Linked DNA regions of Schizosaccharomyces pombe. The main gene of each other region encodes a partner of the protein of the gene in region 2 in a complex. Each region holds a gene or a part of one and is shown on either strand. Other genes may lie near its edges. The genes, in order: dad5, ask1 and dad1.

Evidence for each region.
Region 1: ask1 (region 2) and dad5 share a complex: the UniProt entries of both Schizosaccharomyces pombe proteins name them as parts of the DASH complex.
Region 3: ask1 (region 2) and dad1 share a complex: the UniProt entries of both Schizosaccharomyces pombe proteins name them as parts of the DASH complex.

The regions. Positions count from the first base shown.
Region 1 is NC_003421.2:1,669,398-1,672,701, forward strand, and holds dad5 (DASH complex subunit Dad5), read right to left. Parts: upstream 1,466-3,304; 5' UTR 1,209-1,465; coding exon 924-1,208; 3' UTR 547-923; downstream 1-546. Other genes in the region: SPOM_SPCC417.03 (uncharacterized protein), read left to right, coding at 2,606-2,654, 2,846-2,967. UniProt on the Schizosaccharomyces pombe protein: Component of the DASH complex that connects microtubules with kinetochores and couples microtubule depolymerisation to chromosome movement; it is involved in retrieving kinetochores to the spindle poles before their re-orientation on the spindle in early mitosis and allows microtubule depolymerization to pull chromosomes apart and resist detachment during anaphase.
Region 2 is NC_003423.3:1,561,770-1,565,754, forward strand, and holds ask1 (DASH complex subunit Ask1), read right to left. Parts: upstream 1,883-3,985; 5' UTR 1,796-1,882; coding exon 1,779-1,795; intron 1,724-1,778; coding exon 1,576-1,723; intron 1,498-1,575; coding exon 739-1,497; 3' UTR 557-738; downstream 1-556. Other genes in the region: protein trafficking protein Pga2, read right to left, coding at 1-266; protein meu25, read left to right, coding at 2,133-3,985. UniProt on the Schizosaccharomyces pombe protein: Component of the DASH complex that connects microtubules with kinetochores and couples microtubule depolymerisation to chromosome movement; it is involved in retrieving kinetochores to the spindle poles before their re-orientation on the spindle in early mitosis and allows microtubule depolymerization to pull chromosomes apart and resist detachment during anaphase.
Region 3 is NC_003424.3:3,088,125-3,091,340, forward strand, and holds dad1 (DASH complex subunit Dad1), read right to left. Parts: upstream 1,217-3,216; 5' UTR 1,202-1,216; coding exon 929-1,201; 3' UTR 660-928; downstream 1-659. Other genes in the region: Smc5-6 complex non-SMC SUMO ligase subunit Nse2, read right to left, coding at 1,459-1,923, 2,039-2,161, 2,409-2,573; taz1 (telomere length regulator), read right to left, coding at 3,113-3,216. UniProt on the Schizosaccharomyces pombe protein: Component of the DASH complex that connects microtubules with kinetochores and couples microtubule depolymerisation to chromosome movement; it is involved in retrieving kinetochores to the spindle poles before their re-orientation on the spindle in early mitosis and allows microtubule depolymerization to pull chromosomes apart and resist detachment during anaphase.

The DNA.
Region 1 (3,304 bases), on a different chromosome or scaffold from region 2:
CAAATATAGAAAAATAAAACAGATATAAGCTAGAATACAATCCAGAGGTGTGGTGGAACAAAAAAAAGTAATTTGTAGACAGATTGGGGAATGGTGGCGCTATGGCTTCCTCAAATCAAATTTCCGTTTTCCCTGGAAGAGAGCAAAAAAAGAAGAAACTGCAAAAGAAAACAGATATTTATTGATTAGGTATGTAATAAGGAGGAGCCAAAGCTTAAAGAAATCAATTTACAAAATCGTTTGAAACGTTTAAAATTAGTACAACCTGCTTTTCTTTTTTCGTTGAGGTTGGCAAAGGGACGGCGTTGTTCACACCCATCTAAGCGAGGTCGAAGAAGCTCTCTTCGGTAAATCGTAAGGTGAAAATAAAGAAGCCTAACGAAAGGAACCACTTTTACCTTTTTTTAGCTAGCTATCCAATGATTGTGCGCTATCTCAAATAAAAACCATATGATTGGTACACTGACTGTTTTGTGAAGCGCAATTGACCAATCATTTCTGGTATCCAATTTTTGCAGTTTCCCTTGGTTACTTAGCCGACCGAGCTGACCAATGAACGAGATCACTTATTAGACGAACTAGAACACCCTCTTTTAGCCTGCTATTTTTTACAGAACTGCATCGTACAATGCAGTAACATAGGTTTCGGGAGTGCAGCCCGAGAGTCGCAAAACTCCCATAGCGTAAAATGCCGAAAAGCCGTATTCCGGATGCATAGTTGATACAACTCCAACACCCACATATTGAAAGAAGCCCCAAATACCGCATTGTTGCAGTAAAATAAGAAATAGCCCCATCTAATTAAGAAAGAGCACATTCCTACTTCCTTTCCTGTTATATTTCTCCTTCATTGGGGCACTTTGTCTCTTGTATTCTCCTTTTTATCATTGTCATTTGAGGTCTGCATCAAAAAAGTTGGAGACTCACATAGGAACGTCTTCTTCCACAGCATCTGAAGACTTTTGAATCCTCGCTTCGGACATAACGCGACCAGACGCCATCAGAAGCGAGGCCTGAAGAGCACCAAGACGTCGGATGGCTTCTGCTTGAATTGCGGTAACATGTAAGTGGTTTTCCAAATGAGACATGTTGGATTGCAACTTGGACAGTTGGTCCACCAAACGATTCATTTGAAAGCTTTTCATTTGACTGGGAGATGGAGATGAACTGCTTGTTCGACTAGTTGGCACAATGGTAGAACGACGCATGGTGTAAGGTGAAAGTGAAAGAAGGCAGACAGGTAGATGGAAGGTAAACAAACCAAACGCGTGTGTGATGGGCGAGTGCAGCTTTTAAGACACCGCACTAAAATGCAATCAACCTTCAGTATCGACAATTAAAGGAGACCATTACCCACTTGAGTGGTATTTCAATTTAACAAATTGCAGCGATTTCCAACAATACCGGCCGACGTTAGTATTCCTCAAAAATGAATAAGAGCGTAAAATAGCGTGGAAAGAGTGGCAGAAAAAGGCGACCAGCGCAGCGCACCTATCTTTTATGTAGCTGACAAGAAGGAAAAGGGGGACGGTAAATTTTTCGCTTACTGATAAAAAACCAAACTTTCGTTATATGGTTTAGCGAGACATAATTTCCAAGCTAATAAGTAATACCGAAATCGTTCCTTTTGCTAAATTTTTCGGGTCAGTTCCGTGGAAATAGGCAAAATTATTGGTAAGGATGGAATTATCAAGTTTTGCATAATTTCCATGGAAGTGTAGAAGGAGGATGAAGACGGAACTGATGAAAAGTGCTCCAAAGCTCCGATCACAATCATGTTGGATGAGGTGCTTTGTCCAAATCAAAGGAAATAAAAATTCTCCGTAAGCTCGACATGCTAGGCATCTTATGAGGAAGATAGGCAAATGAGTATTTTAAAGGAAAAAAGAAATGGAAAGAGCACGATCGTTAGACAAATTACATACGGAAGTCAATGTCCGTGCAAGAGAAGACGCAGCAGCGTGATGTGCATCCGTTGTTTTAATTATTGTTTGAATTTTCAAACTTTACTCAACTACGATCGGAAAACCTTTTTTTTTAATAAACTACTTGTCTTAATATCCTCGGGTTTTATTCAGTTTCAAAAGCATCGAGATTTCACTACACTGGGGTTTATCTTTTAGGTCCCCCACATCTATCATTTCACAGAGTTCCATTTCATATCGACGCTAGGATGGGGTTTGACATATAGTCTTCTTATATGTGAAAACATATAGCTTTTCTAATCAGGTTTTGTTTTTTCGTTTCAGATATATCGGAAGTGAGTTGACCGAACAATGGATTTTATCTTAGCATGGACAAATGTATCAATTCCCTGGAAATGATTCTCTTGGAAACAAAAGAAAGGAAACAGGGATACACAAACCAGTCGAGACAAATAAAATCCAACAGGAAAATTGCTTGGTGTAAGGAAATCGTCATAGAATGCTTTATGGGAGTTTGGGAAGTATTTGTAATATTTACATTTTTTTTCTACTTTTTTTTTTTTTAATTTTTTTAGTTAATGTTTGGCTATTTTCAAAGGAGGAATTCCTGAGTTAGATGAAAATTAGTTTTTAATTTGTTTCTTTTTTTTTATATAATCAAGTTGGTTCATTTAGTAACCATGCTTCCTCATACCGCTTTTTCTAATCATATTCATTACCATTTTATAAGTAATTTTTTCAAACATTCACTCATCCCTTTCTAATCATATACCCCATTTTTATTATAGTTTCTTTCATGAAAATGAATGACTCCTACACTCCATACACATACATCGTTTCGTTTCACAATTTTGTACGCTTCCCCATAAAACAAAGAAATACTTCCATTCACCACGCCCCTAACAAAAGAAAAAGAAAAGATGAAGCCCCTTTCCGTCTATGTATATATACCCTTTTTCATGCTCACACGTGTTTTTCCTGCGGTTTATCATTATCGCTTATGGAAGTGATAATGGATATCTCCCAGTTGCTTATTTCCTAAATCACTCATTTCTTATCCTTATTGCGCTAAAAATGATAACAGTCGCATATTTTCCTCGTCCCTGCTAATTTACGAAGAGTTGATTACTTCATTCCAAGAAAGACGTAGGAAGACGTAGGAATGTCAAATTGCGATCCTATTTTCCCAACTCATCTCGCTTTCACTTGGCGTTGTTGGCATTCCTTTGATTATGACGGACATTTACATCCGTAATAGATGATTGCATGTAAACGAATTTTGTGCTTTGTCAAAGTGCAAAAAAGAGCTACCGATAAACGGAGGACCGATTGTGTTGAACAACTGCACTGACTAACACAAATTTATCAATGGAAAAAAG
Region 2 (3,985 bases):
TCGGCATCAGGATTTTCTTCTTCTTCCTCATCATCCGTGTCAAATTCTCCATGTTCTTTGGGCTTCGTGCCATGCGTCATTTCCGGATCTAAAGTACCATCTACTTCGCCTTCTAATAAAGATTTTCTATGTTCTCTCTCCTGTATCTTGGCTCCCAACTTCATCAAATATGGCCGGATTAACATATATCCTCCAACATATACGATAATTCGAATCCAGTCCTTCAATGAATATGATTGTAAATAGCCTGCAACGTCAAACCCCATTTTCCTTGCACAAAAAAGAGTGGTGGATACTAAGTTCACCTGTCTGCTCAACCAGGCAAACTATTATTAACCAAGTCACTAAAATTCTTTAGACTTTTTTAGAATTTTTAAAACCTCGTTATTCGTCTTAACGTATATTCTCAATGATATGCTGTAAAAAGATTTATTAATTAGGCTATAATACTAATTTATTTAAAAATTTTATAGTTATTTGCTTTCTTAGTTTATTTTAAAATTATTTTCATACAAATTTTACTTGGTTTACAGTATTTATACCGTGACTTATGATTCTCTTAAAAGAAGAATTTTCCAAATTAAATAGAACGTACAGTAAATAAAAAATTATATAACATAAATATAAGGTGGGATTTTATGAAGTAGACATATGTGCTTAGAAAATAAATAGAAAAAATGCGAAAGTAAGGTTCACTACTAAAGGCGAAACGAAGGTGATAACTTCAGCAGTGCTTTATCAGAGTTCCCAACTATCTTCTTCTTTGACAAAACTATCATTAGAATCATTCAAGGTTTCTAATTTCCTCTGCAAAGACAGGCTTCGCTCGTTGGCTTGCTGAGAAGAACCCACCCCCATGGTATGCGGGCTGAATTGGATAGTTTTAGGTGGAGACATTCCACTTGGGTTAATGCTATCATAGCTTTCATGCTCAAATTCTGCAAATAAAGAAAGAGCATGCGAAGAGTTTCTATCGTTAAGTGAAGGCATGTCCATTTTCATTGATATGGGAGAAGGCGATACAAAAGGAGAAGAATCAATATCCATTACTTCTTGAGATTGCAAATTCTTAGGCTCACGTGGAGTCACTTGTACTTGCCAATTTGTATCTAAAACGCGATGCAGAAGGGCACTACGACCTGTATGAGGATTATTTTCTGGTTTTCTTAGCGGAGTCTGCATCCTTGCCGGGATGGGGGTCAAAGCTGCATCATCTAACGAAATATCCTCTAAGGAGACATCCATCTTCTTAGGAGTGGACTGTACAAAATCCTCGTTTTTTGTATTATCTCCTTGTACAGCTGCATCGGGAAAATCAGATTTTCCGACAAAAGAATGCCTCTTTTCCAAATGTTCATTCTTTGTGTGCAGCTGTAGGTCCGCCTCTGTAGAATTAGACATAACATCTTGATCGCTTGGATTGGATTCTACTGGAACAGGTTCCTCTACACCCGAAAGTGAAACATTGGCACTTGCTTCAAAAAACTGCTTCCAAAACTGTTTTCTGTTAGCTTAATTCTTAAAATAATACAAATTACAAGCTGAATCATGAGTGGCAGTTGCCATTGAACATACTTTTGAAGAGTCCCATATAGTGTTACAATTTTTTGCGTATTTTTCCACGATAGGCAAGATTTTGGTAGTCACTGTTCGATGACATTTAGAAAAATTTGCATCAATTTCGTAAAGTGCTAGAGTAATCGATTGTTCCAATCGTTCTAATCTAATTCTTTTGTTAGAGAATGTTTATCTACAGTCGCGACAAGTTTACTGCATACTGTTCCAAATTGTTCATAAGAATGACATCTAATACTCATAAAAACTTTGAAAATATTATTTCTTAGTATAGAAACTCTCAATGGTGAAATTTATGGCGAACTGCAACTGAGGTGTAGGTATACTAGCGTCCATTATTAGCGATGTTTCGTAAAGTAAACAAGTTAAATTGGCAATATACAGTGAGATTTTTGTAAGTTCAAGATAATACTAATACAATCATTGTTGAGTAATAAATATGAATTTTAAAGTTTTGTTTACTTTCCTCAGTGGACTAAATGCAGACTGCAATGATCAAATGATCCATAGTAAACAAACATTCAACTTGTCTTTTGCCAGCATCCTCAAGATCCAAAATGAGTAGTATCTTTGGAGAGAATATTGTTTCAGATAGTATAGTAAATATGGAGTTGACGAACCCTGATAATACTACGACTATGCATCCCATCTATGAAACTAACATTGAAAAGGAAGTCCAGCAGGAGTTTTCTGACAATGTCTCTGAAAAAGAAACGATTGACTCAACTAAAAGCAAAATATCTTTAGAAAATATACAGCAAGAAATGGGAGCACTTGCCAAGAAAATTTTTCATAAATTAGGGGTTAAAGCAACCGACTTGGGATTTTCTAATGAGCATGATGACTCGCAGGATTCATTACAGACACTAGCGCCTTCTCCATCATATGTTCCACTTTTGAAGGTTATTGGAAGCTCTGAGGAGGTCAATAGCAACTTGGTATTAACCGACTTGGAAACAAATACTGATGGATATGATCCTAAATTTTTGATTTCTGTTAGGAAGTTTTTGATGGGATCTCCCAACTCTGGCTTTGTCGTTAAACATGAGAAACGTCTTCCAGATGGACCGCGTGTTCTGGCCCTTCGAGCCATTTCATCAGTCGATGAAGAAAATAGAAAAGAGCGCCTATCTCCTGATAGTGATCCTGTTGAAACAGAATCTGTTTATGTTGACAATGGAGAATTGTCAAATCAAAAAGTAGAAACAGTTGAAATTTCCGAAAAAGAACAAAATGATGATCCCGCCGGATATTCTCAATACCTTCTAGAGTTCAAGAAGAGTAAATGTCAAAAGAAAGTGCCGACTTTAGAGAGTATTGAGGAAAATGAAGGAACGGAACCTCATGACAACTTGACCTTTATGACTGATTTGGGAACTCCATACTATTCTCTGGGTAATGAATTTGAAAGAAAGCAAATTTTGGATGAATACGGGTTGCTGGCTAATGATGAAAACCTAGTTATTGGACACACGTTAAGAGCGGAGTATTGCTTTATGTTTGATGAAAGCGATATCCTGCAATTACGCAATTATGAACATACAGAAAAGGAACTTAGTGTCCTTCAATTTAAAGGGGTCTCGTCACGTTGGGATTTTCGTTGCTGTAGAGAAGAACGTTTACTCCGATTGCTACTATGTTTCGACAGTGAACATACTGGGCAATCTTTCATTCAACTGAACGATCCTGAAAATGAAAATGAAAAGGAAGAACAAAATTCCATTAGCATTAGGGAATTATCCTACTTCAGCACAAAACTTATTTCATTGATCTTACCCAAAGAAGCACATAAGCAGCGGTATATCATGCTAAGCTCCTTAGCAAAGACAAGGGAAGCTGATTTCTTTTGGTCTGAAGAGGAAAAAACTAATTATACAAACGAGCTTCTCAGCAACCCATGCAAATTCCTTTGTGAACTAGATCATTTCGATTCATTTCCTCATCAACAACAAGATCTACTCTGGAAGTACTTAGCGGAGTTTTCTGCTAGTTTAGAGTTAGACCCCAACCTTGCCCTTTGGAAGAAGCAAGTTATTTTTTCAAAAATCGGTCATCCGAAGTTGCTGGTTATGCCAATATCTAGTTTCCACTGCGTACAACGTTTCCCTGACCTTGTTTGCGTTCAAACTTCAACTGCTGAAACGTTTTTGTCTGTGGATCGTGAATTAACAACTTATGACCTAAACACTATTAAGTTGTTAAACACAGCACCTAGTCGTACAGCTCAAAACTGGCTTTTTATCATGCATCACCTAGAAATTGTAGGCTATTTATTTCCACATTTGGTTCATCTCGATAAACAGTATAGTTTATTAGATTATGCAAAGTCTGTTGAGCACATTCCAGAATTGGGCACTGTACAACGAAAAGGGTTTTTGAACAAAGTCGCATTTGATGATAACGAGGCTTT
Region 3 (3,216 bases), on a different chromosome or scaffold from region 2:
TGATGAGATTGTTGGAACATAAGAAGCAAGAAAAACGCTTTATTTACGCATTCTAACATTGCTAATTGCATATAAACCAATACTCCAAACGTTTGCTGCAATAGAGACATTATGCTTGTATGCTTTCTTTTAATCTAAGCATATTGTGTAGCAGTTTCCTTTTCAGAATTTTGCTCCTATCTCAACTTTTTATCTTTTCAGGTATTTAACTAGCCAATATGGTTTAGATGGATTATCGACTATTGGAGCTATTTTGTGATTTATAATTTGTTTATTAAGACGTTATCTGTTTGATTCTGAATATATGTCAGCAAAAATCAATTGGTCTTAATGTTTTTTTTTACTTTTACTTCAAATATGCCTATATTTGTCCGAAACTTTGAAAATCGGTTTTTTAACCCTGACTGGTTCAGGGTATTCATGTCGTGAATAAAACGATAGTTATATAGAAGATATTGAAATGAATACTTATGATTCCTTTTACCTTTTTATTATGCTAAACTGCATTAAACCCCTTTTATAATTTAAATAATACCATTAAAATGGTAATTTCTAAAAGGATTCGTATAGTAGTAAAGAAAAAGTTTACTATGCAAATATTAACATCAACAGTTGTTCTGCCTCTCAGACGATGAACGGCTTATTTAAAAATTGGCAGCTTTTAGAAGAATATAGGAAGATTAAAAACTAATATATATATACAAACACATTATTAATGAAGTGACTTAAGGTTTGTGTATTGTAATATGTAAGTTAATTTAAAAGAATCCTGACCTTTGACCAATTTTTGAGGACGCTATTAAATTTATAGATTCATAAAAAACATATAATAACTAATAATTTAATTTAATATGCAAATTCTTTGAAACAAACTGCGTTAAGGCATATGTTTAGCGGCAATGAAAATACATTTAGAAAAGAACGACCATCAAGGTGCATCTAGCATTTCACGATCTTTCTTCTGTAACACTGAATTTTGAAACTCCTTCCAAAGAGACGCGACATTTTCAAATTCCTTTCCAACACCGTTAATGCTTTCAAGATTTTTATTTAGAGCTGACATAAGATTCACAACTTCATTCATACTTTTTGAAATTTGTAAGGTCAAAAGACGACGCCTTCTTTCAAAATCTATATCATCAAAATCTTTATTTTGCTCATTTTGTATGTTTTCAGTAATATCCATATTTTCTGAGGACATGGTATGTTAATGGCTAGTGTCAAAGTCAAGCATGAGCCAAAGTTTATCATAAGGTTACAATCAAGTAGATCTTATATTAGATTTAACTATCTTCATAATTAAATGCCAAAATTGAAGCTTCCGTACGAGCATAGAATATTAGTCAAAAGAGACATGTTATGCATATTTACAAGTTGGAATAAACAAATACATTAAATATAATAATAATAATAATAATAATAAATCCGGATCAGTACTACAATGTAAATAGAAAAGGACTAAGCTTCTTTTAAATTACTTATTTCCTGAGCGCGGCGTAATCTGCGTTCAAGAATCTCATCTTCCTTAAGTAAAGACCTTTGTAAACGAGCTTCACATCCTACAACAGGGCATACACAAGTTGGATTTAACAGAGACAAAATAGCATCTTTTTCATAAAAATGATTACAGGCTGTCGATAATATTGGGTGAACAATTGGTTGTAAAGTTAAAGGGCATCTGTTATCAAAGGTAGCTGAATATACCATCACTTCATCTGCTTCCTGTTCTTCAGTGTTCATGACATTAAAAAATGTTTTCATAGAAGGAAAGTCAGAACCGTCTGTATTTTGCTCATGCCATATGGTTTTTTTAAATTCAATGTATTCTCCTTGTGTGCCATATTTACCATAGTCGGATTTTTCTTCGTATTCTTGAATGAGTTCCTTAAAAATTTGTGTATAAATATCCAACAAACTTTTATTCTAATTTTGTTAGAACAATTGAATATGAAACAGTAAAAAAATACGTCTAAATTGATGTTTTTACTTCATCTACATATAATAGAAAAAGTAGGAAAGTCATTTCCGTGGTACGTACTTCAAAATCACTTATATTTTCACTGGTTTTGTTAGCCAATGTATCCACCGATTGCTGCATCAATAACAATCTCTGCTTTGCATCCAACAGCTCTCGGATCCCGCTATCAAGCATGTCCAAACACTAAAAGGCAAGTGTTAGTCAGAAGTCATAAAGTAAGCAGCATGTCATATTATGTCTATTTTAGGCTCTCTCTCAATAGCCGGAAATAAGAGGAAGAAAAATATTAGTTAAACAATGTTTTTGTATGTATATTTGTACAGCGAACTTCTTTTTAAAAAACTGTATCTCGACATAACACCACTTTCGAGTTTTAAAAGCAATTCATATTAATTTTTTCCATTATCTTTCGTAATAATGGTACACATACCTCATTATTTTTTATCTCAGCAGCAACTAGAGCACATTTTATCACCTGTTTAATTGAATCGTCAATTTCCTTCAATTGGAAGTCGAAACTGCAATGATTTTGGTTTCCAGGTAATAAATTTTGACTTAAAGCCTCCAAGGAAGTTTTTAATTGTGCTTCACTCATTTACGATTCCATTCGAGAAAGAAGTAGTTACGACGTTTAATTAGTAGACAACGCAATTTGGGATTGAAAACCTATTAATTGCATATGAAAACTAAATGCCACAACACTTATTTCCTTAAATAAAAAAAGAATGTTTTTTAAGCAAGGGTAATAACCACGTTTTAAAATTTAAACTCCAGTACGTTTTTATGAAGATTGATGGCATATGTATAAAGACTAAATAAATTCTTATTTACTGTCACGTTTAATACAAATGAATGGGTTATGAAATATTCTCATTTGGAATTAGAATTTATAATGCATACTTCGGACAATTAACGCTTGACTTTTAGTACCTCTATTACTAAACCAACTATTCAATATGATAAACCAATAAAGGATGATTAAGGCCGTGAAATGTATAAATTAAATTATGTTATTTTCAAAATATTCCATAGATTAGTAGTAAAGTAAAACACGATTAACAAAACTATCCGAGTCTTGTCAATATTATTCATTAAAAAAGCAATCATGAACAAACTCTATCCGGAGACGAAAAATTAAGATTGATAATTAACAAGCTCTTCCCGTAAAAGTGGCGGAGTTGCCTCTATGTAAGGTATTTTATGAAGTTCACAATAGGCCTGGCCCACAGTAACATTTT